Linked DNA regions of Mytilus edulis. The protein of the gene in region 2 interacts with the protein of the main gene of each other region in a biochemical or structural test. Links are inferred from orthologs where the notes say so. Each region holds a gene or a part of one and is shown on either strand. Other genes may lie near its edges.

Region 1 (7,345 bases), on a different chromosome or scaffold from region 2:
CAATATAATTACATTAAATGTATGTTTCACTATAATGCGTTATTCTGATTGGCTAAATGCACATCACATGTTATTCCTTAAGCAATTGCATTACTCAATAAAACTTTTCATTTATGATAACATGAGGTCCCACAATAAAGTGCCCAGGTGAATTAAATAAAAAAAAAATGATAAAATTCATGTTTTCATGATCCTAGCTAAAAAATGTAATAATAAGTATTGAATGCTTCTTTTTGTAACTTCATAGGGTTGTAAAAGCATTGACCGTGCGCACATTTTTAGAATGAAGTGCTTGTGTAAAGCAAAATTATATCCAGGTGAAATTTGATCCGAAAGGAAAAAATGTCACAGCAGTTGTTATTTTTTTGTCCGGAGGAAAATACTTCCCTGGGATATTTTTTCCTTTGCCGTGAAATTCTATCTAGGTAGTTAACTTATTGAATAGTTATTAGAAAAAACTTATCCTTTAAAAATACTATGAAATAATATTAGTGTATTTGAAATAAAGCGAAATTGTTAAAAAAAATAATGTATTATAATGGGAAATAATTTCACAAATTATCCTTGAAAAATTTCCTGAAATATTCAAGTCAATATCATCCTTTTAAAAAGAAAATTATCATGAAACAAAGGGAAGAAAACCAGAAGTAATTTCAAAGATCGTAATTGTGAAAATAATATCATGATTAAACAAGGTTAGTGAAATACATGTAAAAGTGAGTTGTTTTCAGATCTCAGTGCAAATATAAAATTAAAACTAAGGTAGAAATATAGTTGCATTACTACTGTTAACAGTAATAGAAGAATTTGATTATGATGATAGTTTTAACTATATAAATAGTTTTGTCTGGGGACAGAGATGTAGTTGTTGATTATATGGAAATCAGATAAATCATAGCATAACAATATATTGGAACAAAAGCATGTTTAACAGCTGGATAGTTTTTACCTGTGAAATGTTATCTGTCTTATTAAATCAAGTTGTAAGTCATCTTTTTATATAAATGTATGTATAAAAAAAAAGATTCAAGGAAAAATTTCACTATAAAATAGATTCAGAAATATATTTAAAATTTAAATTGCTCATAATTACCTCCCTTTGATAAATTATGCAAATTTGGTCTACCTTTGTGAAACATTTTATAATTATAGTCAGGTATAAATCGATTGTGAGTAACTTACATAGTAGTTAATGGGACTCTATTTCACACGGTTCTGTGAAATATAGTACGGCAAATATAACCATTACATACTATACGCATAACACAGATAGATTTTCACTCCTCTGGAAAAAATCAACCTGTGAAACACCATGCCTGGAAAAAAATTACCGGGACAAATTATCCTCAGGACAAAATATCACAGAGGAAGAAATAAACCGTTACACTTTCACTCTTCATACAAAATGTACTTCGGTCAACGCTTTTACACCCCAATGAAGTTACAAAAAGAAGCATTCAATTCTTAAATAAATTATAATATATGTGAATGTATGTATGTACTGGTAAATGCCTCAGTTATTAAAAAAAAAACCTTAAAAGATGCGAGGGTACAGTGGCGTCCATGTGCACGCCCTATCAGGATTAATGGAGATGTGTCACTAACGTACATATACATGTATATATATACGACAATTATTTTTACAAGGACAGTCAATCCCAACCAAAAACAAAGGGAGTGCTAGGACACTGGGAAGTCTATTACTAGGGTGGTGGAAGCAGAAGTACTCGGAGAAGACCACTGTGGCATTCGGCGGAAACAGACAAACCAGAGATATCAGAAGATTGATCTCCATGTCAAAGTAGGGGGCAACTTTGACCAACTAAGGTCCCAAAAGTACCCGTTCTAGTTTAAACTCTGGTCTGGGTACCAGAGATGTGTGCGAGAGTATGAAAATTACAATTCTGATGTACTGATATTTTTCGTGAGAATCAAAATTGGGACCTTCAGCACTGAAAACATGAGGGGGGATAGGAGGGGTCTTGATCACGAAATCCCGGACTTGAAAAAACGAAATCCCGAGGTCCCGAATTTAAATAAAGCAAATCCCGACATCCCGAAATCCCAAAAAAAAGGATTCCCGGATCCTGAAAAAGGTCAATCCCGAAATCCCAAGCTTAAAAACACCCAATCCAGGAGTCCCGATAAAGGTCCTATCCCCCCTCAAACATTGGTCTTGACTTAACCACTAGAACATGAACTCAGATTTCTTTAAAGAGTTTTTTTTTGTCAATACACCATATCGCTATATGTCGGCTATTACTGGATATCAAACAGGTTCCCGTAAAATTTTGACGTCACAAAACAAAACATCTGACAAAAGTGATTGTTGAATGCGTCAAAAGTTCAAGCGGCCGGGTCAACCGGGATTAGCGATAAGGTGCATGCTATGTTAATACTAGATAGGTCAAATTAGTCAATTTGATGTTAGAACGATAAGAAAAGGGTGTTGTCAGTGTAGCGATAAGTGAACACAACAGGGGTCCAGTTTATGTTAAAACTAGATAGGTCAAATTAGTCAATTTGATGTTATGAACCCTTAGAACAATAAGAAAAGGGTGTGGCCAAATCGACTTCGGCCGAAACAACTATAGCCGAACTGGTTGTGTGGCCGAAATATCTCGAAAACTTTTATGCCAAACCCAGTGGTGGATCCAGGGGGGGTTCCGGGGGTGCGCACCCCCCCTTTATTTTTGCCGATCAATGCATTTGTATCGGGACATATGTTTTGCACCCCCCCCCCCCCTTTGCCCTGGGTGCCCTGGGTTAGCACCCCCCCCTTTCGAAAATTCCTGCATCCGCCCCTGAAACCGACACCCGAACAACAAGCTCTGTTGATTGAAGACCCAATGAGATATTCATAAACATATCTGAAACTAACGCTTGTATTCTGCCATCAACCTTCTTAAGGCTGATCCTGCCATTTTGCATTATCAGTTTTATCAGACTTTTTTTCAACTCATAAAATCGTGTTGTGATTCTTTTACGTGGAAGATAAAAACAGTGTTCGACTGAACGACGAAATAAAATAAGTATTCATTGGTTAAAGTTTAAATTACATTGAATGGCGACCAATCAAATGGACTGTTCCGTTTTTAGCAAACAATGGACATTTAACAGAAACCCGTTGAAATATTAAACGATTCCGACAAGAATTAATATATTCTAGAAAACATGACATCTGGTTTTTAATTTTGGAAATATTTTCAAATTTATCAAATAGGACGGATTGCAGATTGGTGTCTTATGACAAATAAAAAATAGGGGCGACCGAAAAGCTCTTGGATTTTGCGGATCGTTTATGTTAATTAGATTTTTTCATCTTATGTGCTTGAAGCAAGGCAACAATGGCACAGGCAAGCCTTGAATGGGTTGTAAGTATTTATGTTCCGATTATTTATTGACGATTTCTCTCCAGGTAAAAATGACAAGTGAAGGGTCTGTGTTTATTTCTTTATCTAGAGGTCATGAACTTCTAGACCGGTCATGTGATTGATCCATGTGATTTGATTGGTTGTTTTTAGCGCACTAGATTTAAACGGAAAAGTAACATCACATTCACCGGAGTGAGCTTTTAGATACCTCTAAGCCTTGCAATGGCTACAAGTCCTTTGAGGGTAAATTTATAATAGTCATGTCATACTGTTTCTGTTTTCAGTTACATTTTGTAGTCATCTTTCATGCATGCAAGTTAAAGGACTTTGAAATACTTCTACTAAAAAAGGGGGAGGGTTTTATGATGTGTTTACAAAAATGTAAATCATAAAATGAGGAATATTATATGAAGTCACATAACAACTTTCACCAGGTTGCAATATGGTAGTTGATGATTTCCAGAGGACAGGCTGATTCTTTACAGTTGGAAATTAAGGTTTCCCTTCAATTTTGATTTTAAACTAGATTGTTAATCATTTCAAAAGAATCTCTGTATAATTTACATCAGACATAAGGGGACTTTTTTCTCAACATCAAAAGGGTAAACAATAGTACAAAAGACTTTTTAAATAGACGACTGTAAAGAAAGCTTGTTCTACAATTTTGACAGTCATTGTTTACACGATTGTCGGATTTGTAATGTGTAACCAGGCGTTTATATCTCAAACGTCTGTTCCAGTTAATACTTGGATCCAAGTTGTCCACAAACAATACAGCAATACTAAAAACTACAACTATCTACGTTATGCACAATGAACCAAAATATATACACTGGCTTTTTGCAGATACAAAATAAGTATGAACTCTATATATACAAGTTTATACAATATAACAGCCTGACCTCCTAATTGGACGTTATGTCACTATAAGACAATGTGGCTGGAACAGCTTGACCTCCGAATGGGACAGTCTGTCAATACAAGACAGAGTGGGCTGGAACAACTTGTCCTCCGAGTGGGACAGTCTGTCACTACCAGACAGTGCCGGCTACTACAGCTTGTCCTCTGAGTGGGAAAGTCTGCCTTGTCAATCCGATCAACCTGTACGTTCACTTGTACCCAGTACAAAGTGTCTCCTGAATATTAAAGCTCTCCTAGCGTCTTAATATTACTAACGTACGCTCTGATGATGTCTCATCGACAGCCAACCGACAGCCTTGAATGCCGTTTCTCGTTCTCTTAATATATTCCACAGGGCGACTATACTATTTACTTAATAGGGGTGTTCTCTAAATGTTAGCCTTACAGAGCATAGAGAGTTCCTTACGATCACCCCTATAACTTTCGACCCTGCCACTAATTTCCTTGCCAAAAGTCTAAATCCACACAACGCTTCTTTAGGCATAAAATATGCATATATACAACAAGATTCTCCTGGTTTATAACCATAACGATCAATAATCATTACAGATTGAACTGTGTCTACCAGTGTAACTCATTCATGAAAAAAACCATCAAGTTTAGCATATCCAACAAAAAGAGGGTACTAGCCAATTTTGCAAAAAATTGTTTAGGTTTGATGAGTTGGGTCAGAGGGTTCCTGATCCCGAAATCTCAGGCTTAAAAACATTTAATCCTGAGGTCTGGAATTTAAAGAAATTTAAATCCTGATATCCCAACCTTAAAAGCACCAGATCCAGACCTCCAGAAAAAGGTCCTGCCCCCCTCTTTCATGAACAGGTTAAGAGTTACCCAGGGTTCTCATTTAAGTAATTAGAAAGGACTTAATTTTTAGCCATGGCAGGTTCAGAAATTTAATTGTTATATAGAAATTAATATTACAGTCTTTATGACAAAGAAGAGCAAGGTAATCTTGTAATTTATTTTATAGTTTGCTAAAAAATGTTGCTACATGTATGTTTGCAAAATTTACCATTTTGATGCTTCTCTCTTAGGACCAGTTTGCACAGAAAACGATTTCATCTACTAGTCCGGAAACTAAATATCAAAATTTTTCCCTATATGACTATTTAAAATTTTGAAATTTCACTTGTCCGAATCAATATTTTCTAGTCTGGGGCATCAGACTAGTGACTAACTTGCCAGCTGTCAGATTTTGTAATTAGTTCAGACAAAACAACAGGAGTAATTATTGAACCCTTTCCTCCATTGAAATTTTTTTTTTGCATACTTGATTCGCATAGGATTTTTTTAATTAAATGCTGAACATATGATTTAAAGTATTAAGGCATTGTGAAAAACAACTATTTCATCAAATAAATTTAAGTTGGATATTCCTATGATATCCCTTTTCATATCAGATACAAATTTTATTAAGTCAACTGCAGACACTTTGTAGTCACAGTGTTTCAACTGAGGTACTACACAGGCGTCCAAAGGCGTCATGGAGTAAGGGGGATGGTGTCAAAAGACGTCATTATGGAGAAAAGGGTTAAACGATATAGAATGAATTGTTTGAAGATAAATGTACATTGTATCTATAGTGTGTATATGCATTAGCAAAGACTATTAAAGTATGCTTGCTAAGTACATGTAGTTACTTTTTGTGTTGCCTGCAACATTTATGCTACAACAATGAGACAGCAATGCTGTTAAGCCTGTTGTCAGTATTGTTAACATAATTCAGAATAATAATTTTACAAAAACTCGCAACCTGTATATATGATTGATACATGTAAAAAAAATGTACCAACCCTATAGAGTTTAGTACGAAAACTCTCAAAGATTATATTTTCTGACTTTTATCATTTTTTGTAAATTTTATGTTTCAGACTTTGTTTGACAATATGAATTCTAAAGCTGATAAAAAGAAAATGGTTGAATCTGAGAACATGGATGAAATCCATTTGCCTGGTGGTGGAGATGCCGGCTCTAAAGCATCAAAGAAAAGATTGTCTGTTGAAAGAATTTACCAGAAAAAATCCCAGCTGGAGCATATATTACTTAGACCTGATTCATACATTGGTTCAGTTGAAACTTTAACACAGGTTTGTCTCTTTAATGATCATGGTATGTCTCCTCAGGAAGAAAAGCATTAGGATACAAGATCACATATGAACATTGGATACCAAAAGAACCTTTTATATGCAAGAAGTTTGATTTGAACTAGCAACAAATGACCAGTGCTTTATTTTCATCAGGGGAAATAACTTATCTGAAAAAATTGTCTGAATGCTTTACAAATATTTTAAAGAGATTGGATTACAAATATGTGTATCAAAACTGCTTCAATTAAAATTGTGGCATGCAATGAATGATTTCAATGAAATAAATGGTCTTTGAAAAACAAATAATTTTTATAAGGGCTTAAAATGACAAATTGAAAAGAGAGCAACATCTGAATATAACTTCATGATTTTAAATTTTGATCAATTTTATTACAGGCAATGTGGGTTTATGATGACGAAGCAGGTCATATGGTGAACAGAGAGATCACATTTGTACCAGGACTTTACAAAATATTTGATGAAATTTTAGGTAAATTTTCTGTAATTGCGCTTTAGCTTTTATGCCCACCTACGATAGTAGAGGGGCATTATGTATTGCTGGTCTGTGGGTTCGTCTGTCTGTCCTGTTTCAGGTTAAAGTTTTGGTCAAGGTAGTTTTTGAGGAAGTTGAAGTCCAATCAACTTGACACTTAGACCATATGTTCCATATGGTGGTATAATCTTTCTAATTTTAATGCCAAAATTTTTTTACCCAATTTCACGGTCCATTGAAGATGGAAATGATAACTAAGAGTTGGGCTTTCATGTACTTTTGACATATTCTTGTTTTACTTCTCTTTTTGTAATTATTATAAAAACAGAGATATGGTATGATTGCCAATGAGAAAACTCTCCACCAAAAACCAAATGCCGTAGCAGTTCACAACTATATGTCACGCATTAATGAATTTTAATTTAAAGTTATCTCCTATAGCCTTTAAAACATTTATTTAAGGAATTTTA
Region 2 (7,794 bases):
GTCAGATGAACCATGCCAGGCAGACAAGAACAGCTAACAATGCTACTATACAACATATATAGTTGACCCATTACTGATAGTTTAAGAAAAATAGACCAAAACACAAAAACTTAACACTGTGCAATGAACCGTGAAAATGAGGTCACGGTAAAAAAAACCTTGCACGACTGACATAAAGATCATAAAATAATTCCATACACCAAATATAGTTGACCTATGGCATATAGTATAATTAGATGAAAAGACCAAAACTCAAAATCTTAACTTTGACCACTGAACCATGAAAATGAGGTCACGGTCACATGACATCTGCCCGCTAGACATGTATAGCTTACAATCATTCCATACAACAAATATAGTAGACCTATTGCATATAGTATGAGAAAAACAGACCAAAACACAAAAATTTAACTATAACCACTGAACCATGAAAATGAGGTCAAGGTCAGATGACACCTGCCAGTTGGACATGTACACCTTACAGTCCTTCCATAGACTGAATATGCTAGCCCTATTGCTTATAGTATCTGAGATATGAACTTGACCACCAAAACTTAACCTTGTTCACTGATCCATGAAATGAGGTCGAGGTCAAGTGAAAACTGTCTGACAGACATGAGGACCTTGCAAGGTACGCACATATCAAATATAGTTATCCTATTACTTATAATAAGAGAGAATTCAACATTACAAAAAATTTGAACTTTTTTTTCAAGTAGTCACTGAACTATGAAAATGAGGTCAAGGTTATTGGACATGTGACTGACAGAAACTTCGTAACATGAAGCATCTATATACAAAGTATGAAGCATCCAGGTCTTCCACCTTCTAAAATATAAAGCTTTTAAGAAGTGAGCTAACACCGCCGCCGCCGTAGCCGCCGCCGCCGTAGCCGCCGCCGGATCACTATCCCTATGTCGAGCTTTCTGCAACAAAAGTTGCAGGATCGACAAAAAGTGCTTGTTATCACTGAATGGTAAAGATTGTTTTAATTTATCAGTTGGTAGTAAAAGTGAATATATACATTGTATATTGTATAAAACAATGATTTAAGTTGATTCAACTACTATTCTGGACAAAGAAAGATAACTCCAATTGAAAATTTTGGACCCTTTGACCTTAATGTAGACCAATTTGAAAACGGGACCAAAAATTAAGAATCTACATACACAGTTACATTTGGCATATATCAAAGAACCCCAATTATTCATTTTTTGATGAAATCAAACAAAATTTAATTTTGGACCCCGATTTGGACCAACTTGAAAACTGGGTCAATAATCAAAAATCTAAGTACATTTTATAGATTCAGCATATCAAAGAACCCCAATTATTCAATTTTTGTTAAAATCAAACTTAGTTTAATTTTGGACCCTTTGGGCCCCTTATTCCTAAACTGTTTGGACCAAAACTTCCAAAATCAATCCCAACCTTCCTTTTGTGGTCATAAACCTTGTGTTTAAATTTCATTGATTTCTATTCACTTATACTAAAGTTAGTGTGCGAAAACCAAGAAAAATTCTTATTTGGCCCCTAATTCCTAAACTGTTAGAACCAAAACTCCCAAAATCAATCCCAACCTTTCTTTTGTGGTCATAAACCTTGTGTCAAAATTTCATAGATTTCGATTAACTTAAACTTAAGTTATAGTGCGAAAACCAAGAAAATGCTTATTTGGGCCCTTTTTGGCTCCTAATTTCTTAAATGTTGGGACCAAAACTTCCAAAATCAATCCCAACCTTTCTTTTGTGGTCATAAACCTTGTGTTAAAATTTCATAGATTTCTATTCACTTTTACTAAAGTTAGAGTGCGAAAACTAAAAGTATTCGGACGACGACGACGCCAACGTGATACCAATATACATGTACGACCAAAAAATTTTCAACTTTTGCGGTCGTATAAAAACTAGATGTTTCAAGATCAGCTGATATAACCAAAAGCATTTCAAATGGTAATTAAGGGTACCCTCCCAACCCCATCCCACACCAAAAAATAAATAAAGGGGGAATGTGACCATGGGACACAAATGGAAGATGATCCCCACTTGCATATTATGTTATATAGGGACATAACTCAAGAACAGTAAAAATGAAGCTACCCAAGTACAACTTGAGTTATGAGGTAGTAAGCAATCTGTACATAATAAGTTTCATAACACTTGCTTGAGTCAAACTAAAGTTAGGAATAAATATAAAATCCTTTTCGAAAGAAAAACTATATAAAAGCTTAGTTTGGACATTTTTATAGTAATTCAAAATAAAACATTTTACCTTTAGTATGGTAATGGCTATAATATAACTATACAGCTTGATAGACAAATTTAGTAATAACATCATTAAAGTGGAGTTAAAGTCTTATAGGATTGTAAGTATATTTTATTTTATCACCTTGTACTTTCACATTTTGACTGAACAATTTGTTCAATATTCTGACCAGTTGAACAATTTGATTTTATAAAACAAATTGCGATTTGGTCAAAATTTTGAATGAGTTGCAATTGGTGGATAGCAACACTAACAGTCAAGTCACTGTAGTATGATTGTTTTTAGTTAAGATTTTTAATAGAGTAGAAATCGTTTTTTATTAATTGCACTTATATTTTTGGAAGTTTTATTTTTATCGTTAACTTTCAATAGAATTATGTTGAAATAAAACTACATTGTCCTCTGCTAAGATTAGTTAAAGATAACAGTATTTTCCAAAGAATTTATTACAGTGTAGAAAGTTAATTGTTAATCTTAACAGGATTCCTAAATTTTATGACACCTTCAGTGGGTCAGTCTTAGTCATTTAGAGCTCAAATAATAGTCGTCTGCAAATGCAGCTGTGGCGATTTAATTACTTTGTTTTGATCATCTCTGGGAATCAGGTTTAAGTAGTGTAAAATTGTATGTCAAATGGTCAGACTTAAACAGATCATGTCTTTATCATGTGATAAGTTAACACGAAACAATGTTGTGAAATTGTAATATGAAATGATTTTAAATATTGGATTAAAAAGCAGTTATTAACAAACATTCGAGTTAGTTATATGTAATGGATATAATAATTCTATTTGTTTGACCCTTTCACCGATGAGTCCTGGTTTACCGAGATTCACGCTTCAGACAGCTGACGATGAGTCCTGTTTTACCGGGATCGGAATACCTCTTTTATTTATATTTCCCGCTCAAAACAGTGCAAACACGAGTTATCTTTCTTTGTTGAATACCCTGATGAAAGTGTAAACATGGCGCTTCCGTTTGTTGAAAACCGTGTCAAAATCAATGGAAATTTACAAGAATTAAAAATTTAGGAACATTTTTGTAAAAAGAATATGGAAGAATTGAAGCCAAACTAGTAAACTGAAAATGTCGTTTTATGTACACAACACTTGGAATGGACATCGTTGAGTGTAAGGAATTTGTACAGCCTCATTTCATTTTTCAAAATTTTGCCGTTTTGGGTTAAAAATAATGATTTTGGGTCAAAGAATAGATCTTTCAGAATTTCAACTAGATCATGCCGAAAATTTGAAAATTTTATGAAGAAAAAAATATCAAACATGAACAAAACTGTGAACATGGTGTTAGTGAATGAAATAAAGACACAAATAACTACAGACTAGTTTTTATTGACATTTATTATGAAGATCTCCCTCTTGAGTAATAGTAGCCAGGGAAGCCATCGTCTCAGACAGAGTAGCTTCTGTCTGGGCAGCTATCGGTGAAAGGGTTAACATTATTGTCGAACTCCCAAATCGTCAAACTTTATATGAACAATTTATTCCACTTTCAAATCGTCTCCCCAACAATTGATGATGATGGTGGTTACCATTACAGTCTGGAAACTGTATATATATAATGTATAATGTTATCATACCTGTAATTTCATGACGTCACCACAAGCAGGAGCACCAACCAATCCCGTTCCCACATCTTTGTCGTTTTTATTCATAGATCCAACATTTCTGGGATTCTCATAATGATCAATTACCTGTTATTCAAATAAAAATAATAAAAGTTGAATAATTTTTTGTTTGAGTATTTGAATAGAATATGCGATTCATTCTATTTGTCATGTTTTACTACAATAATTTAATTTGAATAGAATATGTGATTCATTCTATCTGTCATGTTTTACTACAATAATTTAATTTGACTGAAAATCATCAAGGGAGACAACTTTTTAACTCTTTGGCAACAACTCAAATTTCTGTCTGCAAAATCATGAAAATGTCATGTCAGAAATAAAGGCAGAATTTATTTGTAACTGTTTATATGGTTCACAAAAAAATGCCTATTCCAAAACAACTAATCTGATATCATAATCGAATAAATGAGTGTATAATAATGTAAACTTTCGATGAAGGACTTGGCATTGCATAACTTTTATGTAAAACTAAGACAACATCTACAATTTGTACAAGCAATCTTTATTGACAAATAAACGTGTTCAGATACATTTAAATATATATTCTTACATTTTTGTGATAAAGTGCAACTAACGACGTAGTTCGACTTTCTGTTACTGATCGAAGAAGTTGTCCTCCAACTCGAAATAAAGCCATGATGTTGTTTTGCATGTGGTCTGATCACTACTTCCACGTGACATCATCCGCCAATATAGTTTTTATATTTTAACATCTATAGATAAAATTTGATTGTCCATTAACATTCATTAATAACCGTATAACTTTCAAACACTATTTAAATTGTTTGATGTCCGCTTATAATTACATTTGTAGCTGTTTAATCAGGTATAATTATGCGTAGTAATATAGATATCTACTTTCACTTCTGAATTCTGACCTGAAATTGAAAGTAGGTGACATTGCTTTCAGATGACAAACATTGTAATAAATGTAAAATACAATGTTTCTTCGTCTTTTACAATCGAAGTAGATACTGACTGGAATGTATGGAAAGTGAAAAGAGAAATTTCCAAAAGAATTAAACTACCACCTGAAGAAATACAGTTGATATTTACAGGCTGTGTATTGAAAAATGATGCTATTTTAAAGGTGATAAAGGTTTATGATCACTACAAACTTTTTTTGGTATCAAGTACCCCACCCTTTTCATATATTTTGTTTATCAAAAATATGTACCTTGTCATATATGAGGGGGGATAGGAGAGGTCTTGATCCCGAAATCCCGGACTTGAAAAAACGAAATCCCGAGGTCCTTTCGGGATCTGGGAATTTAAATAAAGCAAATCCCGACATCACGAAATCCGAAAAAAAGATTCACGGATCCCAAAAGGGTCAATCCCGAAATCCCGAGCTTAAAAACACCCGATCCCGGAGTCCCGATAAAGGTCCTATCCCCCCTCATATATATCAATTAACAAAAAACAGACCTATAGATATATTTGAATATTTTTCATTTTCTGGTACATTAGTATATAGATTCTTATTTTACTTTCACTTTCTCTTTCTATTTATATCTATAACGTCGTCATAACAACCTCTATTGTTCAGCGAACCACACAACCGCCAAATTTGTACTTCACTGTTTGATTTCATGTATAATATTGTCCTGAAGACACCACCCTTGTTGGCGAAACATGTCGACCATAATAAACTCTTACCATGCCGTAATTGATCGGTGTTGTTGTCTTTGTTATTGTTTTATGTTTAATATTAATTAAAAACTGATAAAAGTTACAATGCCGTTCCCTCTTACAATGGAATTTCTGTAAATAATTGTTTAATGTTTTATGTATACAAACCCTTGAATGTTAATTACAGAGGCGGATTTAGGGGGGGGGGGGGCCCTTTTTGGGAAAAAATTTGGTTGCTTATATAGGGAATCACTGAAGAGTGACTGGAGCGGGCCCCCTCTTAGGTCAGTCAGTGGGCCCCCACATATGAAAATTTCTGGATCCGCCACTGAATTAGGTGCAAATGTCAAAATGGTCGGATTTATTGCATCTATCACTGGCATCAGTGGAAAAACCACATCAGAATAAGTAGAGTTTAATTGGTTTGACAAATAAGTGATGCATTTACAACTGTGGTTTAACGCATCAAAAATAAATACGAACATCTGATTAGTTTTAGATACTTATGATATAATCAAGCAAGTGATAATATCAACCTATTGATATATTTAATTCTGAATTTCTTACCCTTTTCATATATCATAGAGCATGAAAAAGTGACCTATTGCAGCGGCTCATCCCTACCACTAATTATATAGTAAGTGACACCCCCCGAGCTTTTTTTTTAAAAGGAATTTGATGAAAATAAAACCAAGTTTTTTGTAGAAAATCCACAGAATTTTTTGTTATAAGATTTTTAAAACACATTACTCTCTGGTTTTTCTATGATGTGCTAGTATTTATTATTTACAAAAAGTCCTGAACAACAAGGCCGTAACTAGGCATTTTATTTTAGTGAGGCAAAATAATTGAGCGGAGCGAAGCGAGGCGAAAATTTTTTTTTGAGGGTATGAAATGAATGGTGTAAAATCCTGCATTCTAGGCATTTTTAGAGAGTTTGATAATGTTTTGAATTTGAACACTTTATATAAATTTTTCATATTTTAAGACTTTTACTAACACCAACAACTTTATTTAAATTTATATGTAAGATAATCATCCAAATATCACTGATTTGAGTCTGCTGCCAGAACATAGAACAAACATCGATTCAGTAGAGTTTGCCAAATTTTTCTATTGCCGGTTCAGTCAAATCGTTTCAGAATCATAATTTGGTCTACTGGTATCCTTATCGCGATGAACATGGAGCATGGCAAGACCGCACAATCTCTCGCCACTCATGCATGCTCTTTTCCAAGTTTTCAGTCGTTTCAGGGCAGTCTGTGTTTCTAAAGGTAGCACATTGTCATCAACACAATGATCAATGTCTTCTTCCAATTCCTTCTCCATCAGCAATTCGGTAGCAGCATCGGTAGTAACAGTTTTGTTTGCAAAAGGGAATTAAGCTTTCCTGTAAGAACCATCATACAGTCGCAGTTTCAAAATATTCAACTCGCTTTTATGCTGACAAAGAGTAGACAAACTAGGGATAGAATGAGATAAGATACAGGTATATGATTCTATCTATAGAGTAAGTATATCTGGTATGGGTACAGGGGAAATTGGACTGGAGTTTTTGACGTTTACATGTAGGTCTGTAATTTCCAATTATTTCTGGAAATAGTTGGTGGTATTTTAGTTCCAGAATCTATAAATTTAGGGGTTAGGGTCTGGGGTGTCCGATTCCGAAACCCAGAATATAAAGAAACGAAATACCGTAGTCCCGAATAAGTAAAGACAAAATCCTGTGTTAAAGGTTCTACCATTCGATCCTCAATAATATCAAATTGGAATATGGGATATTCTTTCAATTTTTAAGGTTAAAGAAACATGGATAACAAGAATGTGTCCAAAGTACACGGATGCCCCACTCGCACTATCATTTTCCATGTTTTATGGACTTTGAAATTGGGTAAATATCTAATTTGGCATTAAAATTAGAAAGATTAAATTATAGGGAACATGTGTACTAAGTTTCAAGTTGATTGGACTTCAATTTCATCAAAAACTACCTTGACCAAAAACTTTAACCTGAAGCGGGACGAACGAACGAACGGACGGACGGACGGACGAACGAACGAACGGAGCCACAGACCAGAAAACATAATGCCCCTCTACTATCGTAGGTGGGGCATAAAAACTAATCCATGGATGTTTCATATTATTTATATTTTATTTATTTGTAAAGAGAAAGATTAAAGTTCGTGAAATGAATACACAGACAGGACTGCTCCCTTGCGATGCCCAGTACTTGATTTGTCAAAGTTGGT
Region 3 (7,817 bases), on a different chromosome or scaffold from region 2:
CCAATTTTTGTTTGTTTGAAGTAATAAGATGATATATTGACAATATGTATACGAAGAACTTAAATTTATATTATAAACAACACAAGTTTACAGTTTTACCATAGTGTTCACAGTGTTATCATGATATGTGATATATGTCATTTGCCGGACTTTTGATCGATCATAGTGAAACGTTTCAGTATTAATATTTTTTTTGTGTGGCCGTCCGTCATGTTATTCGTTATTCGTATGAGAACACATATGAAACTTTGCTTTCGACAATTTTGATTAAAACTTAACTGTTCACATTTATTTAGGAGCCGTCAATTAAGCAGAGGAAGTAAGTTCCCTTTGTATTGTGAATCTTTTATGATATCGGAAATTCGTTACCGGCTGAATCAACTGTTAGAATAATTTTTTTAACGTCTCCCGATCGTACGAGAAACGAGAACAACAATGTCATTATGGTCAATGCCTTAGTAGTTTAATACTCCCATTCGTTGTAGCAGGGACTTTTAATACTAAGTATATACTAGACGTATATAAATATTATCTGGTTGTAGTTATATACATGTCTGTTCAGCTTTCAACAAAATTGATATTCATGGTCCCCGATAAAAAGAATATCTTGTGTTCTTTGATCTTGCTTTATATGTTTTTTAACTTACCAGTTTGATTTCTAACAAAATAATCTTTAAATACAGATAATAATTGTTTGCATAAAAATTGCTTCCAGGATCCAACAATACTGATGGAAATCGAAGGAAAACAGGTCATTTTAAGCCACTGATTTTATCGAGAGAAAACCAAAAAATCTGCGGTCACGATGTATTTAATTTTAATATTTATAGGCCAAAGTACGACCTTCAGGACGAAGCCTTCGCTCACTCCGAACAGCAACCTCAGCTTGTTTTTACATAAAAATTGCTTCACGTTTCAACAATACTGATGTTTCCTAAAGTGAGGAAATCGAAGGAAAAGGTCATTTTTAGCCATTTTACCGAGAGAAAAAAATCGGCGGGGGCTGCGCCCCCGAACCCCTGATCTTGAGGGCCTCAATCGGCGGCCTCCAAACCCCTGCCTCCCCTGAATTAAAACCCTAGTTACGGCCCTGCCCTCCCCCCCTTATGACTGAAAAACATATATTTTTTAGCATAAAGTCGTCCAAAGAATTTTTCGACAAGCTCCGCTCAGCGGTATATATTCAGTTCTCTTGAATCAAGTTCCCCTTTCAAAAATCCTCAATCCGTCTCAGCCAGTGTAGGCCGCAAAGAATGCAGGCTCCCTAATTGCAGATTTATTCACAAATCGATAGACTCAGAGTTTGAAATATTAAGTCTTGTTATTTCTGTCAGTGGTGTTAGTTGCTGTTGTATTGACGTTTACCCTTCACCCATCTTTATTCATATTTGCTGCAATAGTTTTTTTTTTTCTTTTTTTCTTGTTTATAAGAAAGGAGATGTGGTATGATTGCCAATCACGGAGACAACTCTCTCCACATGCAAGAGACCAAAATGACACAGAAATTAACAACTATAGGTCACCGTACGGCATTCAACAATGAGCATAGCCCATACCGCATAGTCAGCTATAAAAGACCTCGAAATGACAATGTAAAACAATGCAAACGAGAAAACTAACAGCCTCTATATAAAAAAAATGAACGAAAAACAAATATGTAACACATAAACAAACGACAACCACTGAATTACAGGCTCCTGACTTGGGACAGGCACATATATATTGTTCATTTTATAAAGAATTAATGTGTTGTGTGGAGAGCAAAACAAATTAGATACATATGGGTTGTCATAATTTCATGACAGCGACAATTAAGGATACAGTGGCGGATTCAGAGGGGGGGAGTAGAGGGCGTACGCCCCCGCCCCCCCCCCCCTTTTGCTCGGACTTTTTTTTTTTTTTTTTTGTAAAATGATTAATCAGACTAGACTTCGTGAACTTTGCCATTTCCCGTGTATTTAATTTTTATAAATACGACAATTCTTTACTTATAAAGATATTTTAGCTGAATATTAACTGATTGTCAAAGTCATGTGATTTGCTATGGTGGAGGTGACCAGTGCATTGAAAAAATGTCACTCGGTCATTTTGAAATTCAAATTACAGTAACACATTACTTAGGCTGAGGATGTCATGACAATCATGAAACCTTTATAGCGAAACAGGATTGAGCAAGAACGTATTTACTTCTATTTCACTATTCCACCAAACAGAAAGTAATAGTAAATACTCTATAGACTAATACACTCTCATGAGAAAATGTTCCACCATATTATTTACCTACGAAAACATGTTTAACCCCAAATGCCCCAACCTATTTTTATAAATAACAAATTGAATAATGATCCCCAGTCAGTATTTATAAGCTCTAGAAATATTTCAAGTCTCAGGTACAAACCATTTTATTTGAGGTGTCAGTCAGAGATATTTGAGAGAAAAAAAATTTGACTCTGATTCTTGCCTTAAGAAAAACTCAGTTCTGGCCGTATCTGGATTGAAACAATAGTCTTGTCCACTTTTTTTGCTATTAGCCAACAAAATTATTTAGCATTAAATGAACATGATGAATAAAAACGGGCGTATTTTTTTTGTGGCCGAGGTTTGCATGTCTGACCTGAATGTCTGTTTCGCCGGACTTATATATTGAATACTTTTTTCAAGACCAGACTGTAACCTGCCTGCTGGGTGTGGCCTTTATGTCTCCATTTGTCGACCGTTATTCATAAATTCGTTGTCATTTCAGACTCTTTCGTAGCCTTTGGTTGATTTGGAACCCCTCACTTTCCTTAGTTTTGTTGAGTGAAACATATCAACCAAACATTTGGATAAAAACTGCATGTTTGTCCTTTTAACTCGTGTCGGCCGTATTGTAAATTTCATCGAATAGCCCGGCGTATATCTTGTTTACAAGAAGAAATCTGTGAGGTTATGACAACTTAACTTGCAACAAACCGGCGAGAATTTCCATGTCTATTTTTTACTGACAAATCCCACATCAAATATATCAGTACATAGCTTTGGATCCATACTATCATTATATGATAGACAATTAATAGAGAGAAAACAGCATCAAAAATTTCCAACCCTTACACTTTACAGCAACTATAAAAAAAAAAAATACATGCCCCACGCCAGCAAACCGTTTAAATAGTACATATACTGACACTTATTTTATGTTTTTTAGCCCAAAAAGGTCCCAAAAGCTTTGACACTTCCGCCCCCCTTTCCAAAACTCTGGATCCGCCCCTGGGATATATATCAGAACAAGTGAAAGGAATGCAAGGTGACCAGAAACTGGTCGACGTTCATATGTTCTATCATGTTCGCATGCTTTAAGCAAAGTTGTATTAAAGATAACATAAAAACAAGTTCAAGGATACATGACATGCATTAGCTACTTTGAATTATTGTCTAAATATTCGCATGACCTAATGGGATCATATCAGATCATATCTGGCAGCCGATCACACACCACTCTAATCTAAATTTTACGTGTTATTAACTTATATTGAAAGTTCACCCTATAGACTACCTCTTTGGATACTAAGACATGCCGGGTTCTGAAGTCGAGTAACGTTGCATTCACGAGAACTAGGTTACCTTTTCACACTTCAGTTGCATGCATGTAAAGTTCAAGTTAACGTTCACAGCGATTACAGATAGGTGACTATACAATTTTTATGTAAAGTTAAATCAACAACAAAAATTTAACAACAACAAAAAAATCTACTAGCAAATGGATATAAACCTCGTAGTATATTCATGAACCAAAAAGTTCAGTGTTGAAACATCCGTAAAAGGTTCAACTTGTAGCAAACACTGTCACTTTCAAAATATCGTCCAGACGGCATACCGAGCAAGCTACAATTAGAATTTATCTTTAGCGTTGGACGCCGACGCCAAAGCTGGGCCTGCCGACGCGAGCGCCGAAACCATATTTGGGGCAATATGCGCAATTGTTTCGCTATAGGCGGTAATGGTAACGTTTTCTTCTGTAGCTCAGTCCGTATCGCAAACTTGGATATGTATGATGGCTCCTTTCGAAGCTGAGACATTTTCACATGTGTGGTTGAAGGAGGGGGGATAGGACCTTTATCGGATTTCGGGATTGACCCTTTCGGGATCAGGGAATTCTTTTCTCGAATTTCGTGATGTCGGGATTTAAATTTATTTAATATCGGGACCTCGGGATTTCTAGTATTTAAGCCCGGGATTCGGGATCAGGACCCCTCCTACCCTCTCCTAGAAGGGGTAAGAAGTGTGATTCATTTTCCCGTAAATAAGCATACCCAAAAAATCCTTTCGCGATGCGACTCATCGTGGTAAAAATATCTCCTTCTTCACACAATAATATCTTTGAAAATGTAATACAAGTACTTTGAACGGAATACATTAAATAACTCTATATTTTTCACACATTTATTCTATGGTCCTCTTCTTTCCAAATCAACACAAATGGTTAAGCGCAGTCATGTGTTAACATAGATATATGTTCAATATCACTACACAGAGATTTTTTGTTTACACACAATTTTTTGTGTTCCTCAATCGGAGGCGCATTAAAGCGGAGTATTAGCCCATTTGGGTCTAAAACCGGACGCCGACGCCATATTTGAACCTTCAACATCTAACTGGCTCTACTCTAACGAAATGTTTATCATTATGTAAATCATATCTTTCCCCTTAATTTTCATTGGAAATCAAACTGATTTCATATAATAAGAAAGGAGACCGTTGCATTCTTCTCACTATTTAAAAAAAATGGTAGGTAGTCCGATGTACCATTAGACAACAGTTACCTCCCCTAATAAAATTCATCACCGGGACTGAAATGGACACAATTTTTCATGAACAGGTAAAAGTTGTCTTTACAGTGACAACTTTATACATTTTCTCGATATATTTCATAAAACAGACTTGCTTGCATTAGGATTCGGTAGTCTGAGTGGTCAACTGAACCGTCCTTTGACCGCAGTCGTGACATTTTTGTCTATCACTATCAGCATCACTGACAAAATCACCAGATTTGATGCCATACTACAGTTTAACTGTATCTTCAAGTGACCTTAAGCAATTATATTTGGTCAGTGTACTTTTATTTCGTTGACGTTTGACTGTCATAAATTTAGGAAAATCTTAAAGTGTGTTAGAACTTAAATGAAATTTTCATCATCAAAGAGGGGTAACTCTTTTGTTGGGTTTCTATTAAATTTGGTACAGTGTATTACAATCAGAAACTTAAATTGCAATTGTAAGTATACGATATTATGTAATGATCAATCATAGGTTACCTATGCTTTAATTTTAGCAAGAGGGTTCCCTGTGTGCACAACACTGTCTAAATGCCTTAATACAAGGACAGTACTTCAGTCCAGTAGATTTAGCAGAAATTGCTCAGCAGTTAGATGAATCAGAAAGAGAACAAATGGCAGTAGGTGGCATACAAACTGAAGAATATAAAAGATTTATGGAGGTAAAATAATGATATATTGTATTTACCACACTAAATTCATTCTTTTTGTTTCTGTGCGTCAAGTTTAAGTTGAAGAATATGCTTACAAATTTTTGTTTGTTTAATATACTGTACATTATATACATGTACATGTACTTCACCATGTTTATTCTCATTGACTTTACTGGAAGTCTAGAAAGTGCGGAAATGTTCTTAAGAATCATATAGCTTAATAAAAATGGGGAATTATGGAGATTTTGTTATAACTTGTAAAATTTGAATAGGCCAAGGATATAGATGTGTTTGCAGAATGAGACAGAGACTGAGAGTGTGATCATAGTTAGAGAGAATGTCATGTTATTTGTGATATTGCATAACTGTGCAGATACCTTAAAATGTCTGGAAATAAATAAAACATCATCTACATGTATGGTACATGTACAAATGTATGTCACTCCCTGTTTACCAACAACGTGAACAATTTGGATATACATTTGTATATATACATTTAGCAAGCCTTGTGTCATGTATTATTTCATTTCTATAAACAAGGAGTTGTATAAATCTTAAATAGTTTGTTATTTCTGGAAAATTGATAAGAAATGTTATAACATGTATTATAATACTACATGTACATGTACATGTATGATGATTAATTATACAAAATACATGTACATGTACATGAAGTATACCGGTACTCAAGATAAAGTTTTAAATCTAATTTTCAGCAACCATCCAATAATTTTGATGACAGTGGATTTTTTTCAATACAAGTAATAGAAAAAGGACTGTCAGTATGGGGTTTACATCTGTTACCCTATAATTCACAAGATCCTATTGCTGCAACAGCTAGGACTAACCCTGTGTGAGTAATTATAATATGATGTTAAGAATCTAAGGTTGGCAGATAGCTTTCAGAAAAGAATGATACAATATAGTATGTATTGCATATATCTACATATTAATCTGAGTAACATTTATGAAATATGTATACATTTTGTACATTATCCAAATTGGAAAGGGAGAATCTTGTTGATTTCAATGTCAAAGGTCAACCAAAGAAATTTGATATTTGGTGTATCAATTCATTACATAAAATTACAACATGCACATAAAAAGATAAAAACTTTCACTAGAAAATAAAAAGACAAACAGACAAACACCAGTACATAAAACTCACCATAGAAACTAGAGACTGAGCAACATGAGTCCCACTAAAAGTTATGATAAAACACTTGAAATACCATCACCTTAATTATAAATATAAACAGACTTAAATGCTAATGAATGAATTTATATTGACATTTTTTAGTAAATGACAAGGAAAAACTACATTTTCAACGATTCTAACTAATCTCCAGTCAGGTCGTAAAGAAAACATTATTGATATTTTTGAAGAATAGTGTACAAGTCTGATCATAAAATTGAGAAAGGAAATGGGGAATCTGTCAAAGTGACAACAACCAAAGGCCACCAATTGGTCTTCAATGTAGCGAGAAACTCCCGCACCCGAAGGCGTCCTTCAGCTGGCCCCATAAAAAATATGTATACTAGTACAGTGATAATGGACGTCATACTAAACTCTGAATTATACACAAGAAACTAAAATTAAAAACCATACAAGACTAACAAAGGCCAGAGGCTCCTGACTTGGGACAGGCGCAAAATTGCGGCAGGGTTAAACATGATGAGATCTCAAGCCTCCCCCTATACCTCTAGCCAATGTAGAAAAGTAAATGCATAACAATACGCACATTAAAATTCAGTTCAAGAGAAGTCCCAGTCTGATGTCAGAAGATGTAACAAAAGAAAATAAATAAAATGACAATAATACAAAAATAACAACAGACTACTAGCAGTTAACTGACATGCCAGCTCCAGACCTCAATTAAACTGATTGAAAGATTATGTCTTAGTACATATTGTACTAGTATTAATTCAGCTAATGTTGCTAGCATATTGTTGTCTTATTCTTTATATGTGTAGACTAGTAAATTATTGAAACAGTTTGCTGTGGTGTCCAACACTATTTGTAATAATTTTTTTCTATAAATCATGATAAATTGTGAAGATGATAAAATCAGCTTTCATCATCAGACAGATTGATACTAATAATATTTTTATATTTATTTTTTTTGCAGAGAAATGAATGCTTACATATGCAATTTTCGAGAACACTGGTTAGCAATAAGAAAACTTGGTTATCAATGGTTTAATTTAAACTCACTACTTACAGGCCCAGAACTTATATCAGATACTTATTTATCATTATTCTTAACACAACTACAACAAGAAGGTAAGTAACTTTTTAAAGTGAAGGCAAAGATTTAAAAATATAAAGAATGATTTATAATTCTTTGGTACA
Region 4 (7,664 bases), on a different chromosome or scaffold from region 2:
ATATTAACAATATCAATGATATATATCATATAAAAGAGATGAGGAAATAAATTTAAAACACTGTTTATATATATGTTAAGAGTGCAATGACCTCAGTTCAATTGATTGTTTTTGACATGTCAATTTTTTACTTTTGTTTGATACTTCAAATTTGCAAACATCCACCATGTTTGTACAGTGTACATTTAGAAACTATGTGATTAAAATAACAAATAACAACTGACCAGTGTTCTCCCCAGGGCCTTTCAGCATCATCGTAATGTGATGCTATATTTCTGAATGTGATGCTATCTGAATTGAATCATTTTATTTTCTTATACATTGTTTATGGATGTGATGCTATAATTTATTTTTCAAAAGATGGTATTTCAAATTTCCTTGTTTACCAGGATGCTAAATATATGAAATATCTGGGAAGACCACTGCTGACGCTAAACAAAAATAGATACAAGGGAAATACAGAAGAATTTCCAGGTTAATAATTAAACTAAAATTGAACTGTTAAGTTCAAAACTATGATCATAGATTTCAAACATTCAATATAACATGTATAATAGCTAAATGTTTTCAGTAATTGTATGTCTAACTTTTGGTTAAAATGTTAAAGATTTCCTGCTACTATCTGATTTTATTGAAAGAATTATTAATTTAAAGTGATTTTAAGTCTTTACAAATTTTATCAGAGGTGGATACATTTTTAAGCCGTTTTCACGATAAACTTTTAAATCTACAGGTTATGTACAATGTAAGAGCTCAATATTTGAAATTTTTTATTAGATTCTGTTAGACAGTAGAGATGAGTTTTACAGACCCTAAAGGAATTTTACAAGCTTGGGCTGCTGGGCCTGTGGTTAAACCTGAGTTTTCTTAATGACATTTAACTTTTGGTATATAAATTTCACATAATTTTCAATCCCTTTGAATGTCAGATTTTTAACTGGTATTTCAATTCTGTTTCAATTAAGATTTAGGTATGTCTTTCATTGTATTAACTTATTCAATTATTTGCTTTAAAAGAATTTTTCATACTTCAAAGAATTTAGGACTGTCAAAACATTTGCTAAAAATAAATGGGGAAGGTGTACCATGGATGATGCCCCATGATGAATATCATATAAAGGGACATAATTAGTGAAGAAGGGTAAGAGTGATGCTACCCAAATTTGTACTTGATCTAATTTTTGTTGTCATATATAAGTATTGTGTATGAGCTTCTTAACATATGAATGAGGCAAACTTTAGTTGGACTGTAAGAGAAGGGAAACAAACAAAAATAAGCAATTTTTCCCTTCGTAAAGGTGCACAACTCTAGAATCGTTAAAGTGACACCACCAAAAATTCAATTTTGATCTGTATTTTGTGGTAAAAAGCATAAGCATTGTGTATAAGTTTCATAATATTTAGTGGAGGCAATTAAAGTTAGAGCATGGAAACCAACTTTGGGACGTACATGTATGAACATACTGTTGGAAAAGGGTAAAAACTTAAAATACAAAATGTACCCTCTGCTACATAAAAACTGCAAGCATTCATCTGACACACTTAAAAACAGTCCAGTTGAAATATCAAGTTCAACATCTGTTATTTGTCAAATTAACCTATCTTGAGTGCTACTGCACACTCAGAAATGTCTCGCCTGTTTTACTTTAACTGAGTTCATGTTGAAAGTCTGTAATATGAAAGTTTACTACTTGTAGCTATCACATAAACTCAACATTATCAATGTTCTATGAAAATGAGGTCATGATCAGATAAACCATGCTAGACAGACGTATACACCTTACAATTGTTCCATACTCTAAATCATGAAAATAAAAAAAATGCACGTCACCTGTCTCAATTATCACTTCTCCAGAGGGGGTCTCATTGGGGGGTTCCGATCCCGGATCCCGCTTACTGTTTTGTCAGATTCCTGTATCCCGCTTACACTATGTACGTAAGCAATTCTCATTTTTTGGTCATTTCCCGGGTCCCGCAAGACCTCATTTCCCGCCACAATAATTTGACTTTCACGTGTCACGCTTTAAAAAAATCAGCAATCCCGCGTCACGCTTAGACCCCAATGAGACCCACTCCAGACTGTTGACATGTATGAGGTGTACCTGAAGTCTCCCCATCATGAAAATCACAACATCAGGGCATTTTCAAGAACTGGCAAGATCTGATCCTGTGCCTAAATAAATACTCAAAGTACCGTGAGAAAATTACATGTACCAGAAGCAATATGGTCTACCATGAATGATGAAGAAAGGAAAAGAGTTACATGTACATGTACAAGTTGTATCAATTTTGAACTTAGGATCGGGATCAGGACAATGATTTTTACGGTTAGTTTGGCTGCAAAAGGGTTCTCTTCTCAGGGCTCATCATAACCAGTTGTCGAATTATACAAACAAAGGAGTGACCTACCATGCCATCAATATTGACAACAAGTCCTAAAAAGGGCCCTCAGAGCAATCTGGGAGTAGGCAGCGACCTCCTACACTAGGGAAAAACTTTTTACCATATGACCACAGAAAAAATATATCTGATTGTGAGTACACTTCTCAATCAGTTCAACATAAGACCAACTTTGATCATTTGTTGATAAATAGTTTCTTATTTGATGAAGAAATTTTACAGTTGGGACCATGCGTGTCATTTGTACATGTGGCGATTGAAAATTTCCACACAGAATATTTTAGAGAATTTAACAACGTGTATAAATATTTAAACATTGTCATTTTTAATAAACAAATCTTATTATTAATGAACGTGTCGAGATGATTCATATGCGCAGACGTTTTCGTTTCTGTTCAACAAGAGACGGAAAAGGATGATGCCACTTCAATTTTGGGACAAATTCAAAGACTATGTTCTCCCTATTTTGTATTCCTCACCACGTAGCTGCCTTTGTAAAAGGAGCGCTGACTGGTCAACAGCCATGGGAGAAATATTTCCACGGCTTTTCCACTCCAACGGATATTTTTATTCTCGGCCTCTGGAAGTGAAAAATGCGCAGGTGCAATCGTTTGTTCACAGCTGAGCGACAGGGGAGATAACTGTAAGTTTTCGCGGACTTTTTAATTTTTATTTTCAGTGCGCAATCAACTTTTTTTTAATATACTCTTTGGTACAATCGAAATTAACTCGGTGTTGAATAAAATACACCAAGGCTTTGTATAGTGATACTTTACAAATCCTTGGATACATTACCTCACATTTATTGGCTAATAAGAAAATGTAAAAAAAAAATAGAGCCACCAAACTAATTACAGTACCATGTACTTACAATATCAGAAATAAAAATCCTATAAAAAAAGAGACTCCCCTTGCATTTTATCCATTATTATTACCGGTATATATATTATCATTTTGTATAGAAGACTCAACTTGTGTTTCATCCATTGTCATTTTGGTAAACGGACAGAAAGTCACAGGACAAAAAGTCACAGGACATAAAGTCACAAATTTCGCAGGACAAAAAGTCACAGGACAAAAAGTCACAAATAATTAGTTGACAATTGTTTGAATATGTAAGAGAAATAACTTGAAATATTTACTTTTTATACATATATTCATATTAAAATTTAGGAAATGTGTCATTATACTTGAAAAATAAAGATTTATTTAATTTTACCAGTGCAAAAGAAAGATTTCTTGGCACTATGAAGCCATTTAAGTGCCAAGCCACTTTGACATTTCGTTTTTTTAACAATTATTTAATTATCTTTGATATTTGTTTGATAAATTTTATTTACAAAGTTGGTTTATGTACAATAGTTCAAGAAAAATGCAAAAATATTTTTGTAGAAATACGCGTTTTTTATTCAAAGAAAATAATCAGAAAAAATGGACTGTGACTTTTTGTCCTGTGACTTTATGTCCGTGACTTTTTGTCTGTGACTTTCTGTCCTACATTCGTCATTTTGTATAGAAGACTCAACTTGCGTTTCATCCTTTAATATTTTGTTTAGAAGACTCAACCTGTGTCTCATCCTTTATTATTTTGTATAAAATACTTACGTTGTGTCTCATCCATACCTGCATCCATACTAAAATAAATGTATAATTGAAAACCTGTAGTAACGTGAAACTAAAATTAACATTATACTCGCCGTGGACTTCATAAGTATGGTTTCACTTGTGTCCAATCCATAATTTTACGAGTAAATAAAATACGTTTTAACTAAAGAGTATTATCGTCAGCTTAATTAAAAAGGGCTCCATGTTCAATAAAATAAGATATGTCATTCATTGAAGTATTAAATAATGTAGGTCCTATGATTGAGACTTTTAAAATGTACCCCGTCTTGCTGTCTGCCCAACTGCTGAGTATTCATTGAAAATCTCCACCTCAAATGTAACAAGGATATAGGATGACCTTGCGGTTACAAAATATCTTGAGAATAACGCAAGTCTTTGTCAATTAAAAATGATGGCGTCTAAATATTTTCATTCGATTAAGTTCAAATCTATACCATGTATACGAAAAACTGATGTAAAAAAGTATGAGCAATCATACATTTAGATATGCAGCAAATATGAATAAGAAGATGTGATATGAGTGCCAATGAAACAACTATCCATCCCGTTGAAGGTAGGATGTGTAAAAAGTAAACAATTCATGATAGGTCAAAGCACGGTCTTCAACTCTGAGCCTTGGGCTCTCACCGAACAGTTAGCTATAAAGGGTCCCGAAATGACTATATATCAAACAATTCAAATAGAAAAACCAACGGTCTGAATACACAGCTACTTTTGCATAGGTACTATTTCTGTACCAAAAATCTGTAGTACTGGAAATCTACTTTTAATATTCAGTACTATTTTGTTACTTTAAAGTTATTGTAATATTTAGGTACCTGTATTTTACAGTACTTGATTTGTACTTGAAATTTAAGTACTACAGATTTTTTGTTGCATGGTTAACATTTTCAGCATTTTGAAAGTTTGTCTTCCCCAAATCTCATAAAGTTACGATGTTCAAACATGGAATACTGTGATCATTGTTTGTATTATTTTTGTACCAATATTTTAAGTACAAATCAAGTACTGGAAAATACAAGTACCTAAATATTACAATAATTCTCAAGTAAAGAAATAGTACCGTAAATATTAAAAGTAAATTTCCAGTACTACAGATTTTAAGTACAGAAATAGTATAAAAATAGTACCTATGCAAAAGTAGCTGTGTAGTCTATGCTAAATAAAAAAAGAAACGGGGAAACACTAATGAGCCATACCAACAAACGACACTAAATCTCCATGGATTTCCAATTAAATAATTTTCAGATCTTTTTTGAATTGCCTTATACATATGTAATGTTACACAATGAACTTGAAATGAGCAAATACAAAATCTCGTTAAAGGAAATGAGATAAGAAATTAAATGTTAAAGCATTTACACAATAGACTCTGACAACGGATTACAAAGCACTTGTAATTAGTATGTAAATGTACAGATTAAAATGATTAAAATTGTACGAAAACAGAGCACTTGTTTGAATAATGAATTACAATAAAAAAATCAATGAATGGAAAAGTTACTATAATTTGACACCAAAAATAAATGGAAAATTATCTTGCATGGTTACTCATTCTCTAAATAATAGCACATGAGCTTCTTTTGACAGTAAGAGGATTTTATGCAAATAGATGTATATATATCCTGATCTTGGTATTAAAAAAGACAATTAGAAACTCAGTCAAGTTTACGCAGGGAGCATATGTACATTCCTAGAAAAGAAACGATATTAGTTTTATTTTGAAATATAGATATATACTACCAGAAAAACACTGAGTGGAAACATAAACAAAATACTCAAATACAATATATTGGAACTGTAAACGGTGTCATTGTACAAGGAAAATATGCAAAATAAGAAAACACTGACTGAGTGGAAACATAAACAAAATACTCAAATACAATATTGGAACTGTAAACGGTGTCATTGTACAAGGAAAATATGCGAATCTCTATAATGTAATGGAAACTGCACCACACGGCAAAAAGGATATATAGGTATGTAGTTGCTTTAATATATATATTTTATGTGTATTTGAATGTTTTAAGGACGCCAAACAAGTATAGTAGCCGGTGTTTTATATGAAACAATAGGAAAAAATATATACCATTACAAATTTGATTAATTCTTCACCGTCAACTTTCCTGCAGCAATGGTACATGTGAAAGACGTAAATTGCGTCAGCATATTTTGCTGTTAAAAATGTGTTCTAGGTATAGTCCAACTACTGTATTACTAGCCTGTCAACACCGAGGTGGTGTGCTCGAACCCTGCAAGTGGCACGACTGCGCTCTACTCCAATATCTTAATTGACATGGATTCTCATTTTTTTTTTTATGAAGGTCGGCGATGATTTCCGGGCACTCATGCTTCCACCACCAATAAAAACTGGCCGACACGATCAGGGGGTTCCAACCAAGGATAAAAGGTTCCAAATATAGGTCAAAAGCATTGATTTTCAACAAAAAGGGGGTTATAACCCCCACCCACCCTGATTCCGCCACTTAAGATATAGACAGTAGTGTTTAAAGTGGCGCTTCGCTGTACAGATGCCCTACTTATGAACGCTATATATATTTTTAATGCATAGACATATTCTTGGAGGATGATCTACTTACCCTTCCTACCACCTGAGACCAAGTCTTAAGATTTCTATGTTGCGTTTCATATATTATTGTCTTTTTGGTCTTTTTTCTTATTTTGTTATGGCGTTGGCAGTATATTGTGCCGATGTCTATTTGTTATTTTTGATATCCCTTTTGGTATATTTCGCCGCTCTTTTAATCCCATTCAAACAATCAAATTTGGACCATCATGGATCACAGAAAGAAATACATGAGCAAAACATGCTTAACTCAACTAGTTTCTTATGATGTGCCTGCCCAAAGAGGTTTTTAAAGAATACCAAGATATTAATATATAGTGACTAAAGCCTATAACATATTGTTTTGTTGTTGTTTTTTTAATTGCTGTTTGTCACTACATATTATTTTTTTATTTTTGTAGAATAAGACTGTCTGGTTTGTTTTTTGTTTATTGTTTCACATTTTTAACCCCGGGGCTTAACAATCATAACTTATATATCATACGGTTTGTGTTTTGCTTATTGTGAAAAGCCGCACGGCAATGGAAAATATCTGTATAATTGATGACATCTTTCTCTCGTTTTGCGTTTTCTTGTCACATATCTTATTCATAATATGAAAATAAGGAGATGTTGATGGATTGCTACTACAGAAAACATCCATTAAATATCGAGAAGAATGATGCGATCATTTACTGATTACTTTCGTGCGGCTTTCCTTATAGTATGCGCATATCTTCTTATCGTTCGCCCGTATACTTGAATACCAGTCTCCGCAACATTTATAATGGTCTTCTGTAGGGCATCCACTGGTCCATATAGTTTCTCCTTAAGTGTTGTTGGCGAATGTCTCCTTGGGTGTTGTTGGCGAATGCCATATCTTATCAATCTCAGACATCTCACTGCCTGATGGATCTTATTAGTCTTTTCAGTGTTGCACAAGTTCAAACAGGTACAGAAACACTGGTTAATCATATGCATGCCGCATAACCCTGGGAAACTCACTCGCAGAATTTTTATTTCTTTTACGAAAAGATGATATTTTAGCCAAGAATGTTGAATCGATATATTT

The links.
Region 1: the proteins of E3 ubiquitin-protein ligase parkin-like (region 2) and ubiquitin-conjugating enzyme E2 G2 form a complex in vitro, tested with the Homo sapiens proteins (6 studies listed by BioGRID). The link is inferred for Mytilus edulis from reciprocal best matches to the Homo sapiens genes PRKN and UBE2G2.
Region 3: the proteins of E3 ubiquitin-protein ligase parkin-like (region 2) and ataxin-3-like form a complex in vitro, tested with the Homo sapiens proteins (4 studies listed by BioGRID and IntAct, with this or other methods). The link is inferred for Mytilus edulis from reciprocal best matches to the Homo sapiens genes PRKN and ATXN3.
Region 4: the proteins of E3 ubiquitin-protein ligase parkin-like (region 2) and probable ubiquitin-conjugating enzyme E2 7 form a complex in vitro, tested with the Homo sapiens proteins (5 studies listed by BioGRID). The link is inferred for Mytilus edulis from reciprocal best matches to the Homo sapiens genes PRKN and UBE2G1.

The regions. Positions count from the first base shown.
Region 1 is NC_092357.1:21,471,445-21,478,789, forward strand, and holds the start of ubiquitin-conjugating enzyme E2 G2, read right to left. Parts: upstream 3,032-7,345; 5' UTR 2,925-3,031; coding exon 2,882-2,924; intron 1-2,881. Other genes in the region: DNA topoisomerase 2-alpha-like, read left to right, coding at 3,348-3,374, 6,167-6,382, 6,779-6,872. UniProt on the Homo sapiens protein: Accepts ubiquitin from the E1 complex and catalyzes its covalent attachment to other proteins. In vitro catalyzes 'Lys-48'-linked polyubiquitination. Involved in endoplasmic reticulum-associated degradation (ERAD).
Region 2 is NC_092353.1:63,687,065-63,694,858, reverse strand, and holds the start of E3 ubiquitin-protein ligase parkin-like, read left to right. Parts: upstream 1-4,765; 5' UTR 4,766-4,823; coding exon 4,824-5,003; intron 5,004-7,794. UniProt on the Homo sapiens protein: Functions within a multiprotein E3 ubiquitin ligase complex, catalyzing the covalent attachment of ubiquitin moieties onto substrate proteins. Substrates include SYT11 and VDAC1.
Region 3 is NC_092346.1:61,398,198-61,406,014, reverse strand, and holds the start of ataxin-3-like, read left to right. Parts: upstream 1-4,786; 5' UTR 4,787-4,831; coding exon 4,832-4,855; intron 4,856-5,308; coding exon 5,309-5,473; intron 5,474-6,180; coding exon 6,181-6,317; intron 6,318-7,593; coding exon 7,594-7,748; intron 7,749-7,817. UniProt on the Homo sapiens protein: Deubiquitinating enzyme involved in protein homeostasis maintenance, transcription, cytoskeleton regulation, myogenesis and degradation of misfolded chaperone substrates.
Region 4 is NC_092349.1:6,893,747-6,901,410, reverse strand, and holds the start of probable ubiquitin-conjugating enzyme E2 7, read right to left. Parts: upstream 3,032-7,664; 5' UTR 2,926-3,031; coding exon 2,880-2,925; intron 1-2,879. UniProt on the Homo sapiens protein: Accepts ubiquitin from the E1 complex and catalyzes its covalent attachment to other proteins. In vitro catalyzes 'Lys-48'-, as well as 'Lys-63'-linked polyubiquitination. May be involved in degradation of muscle-specific proteins.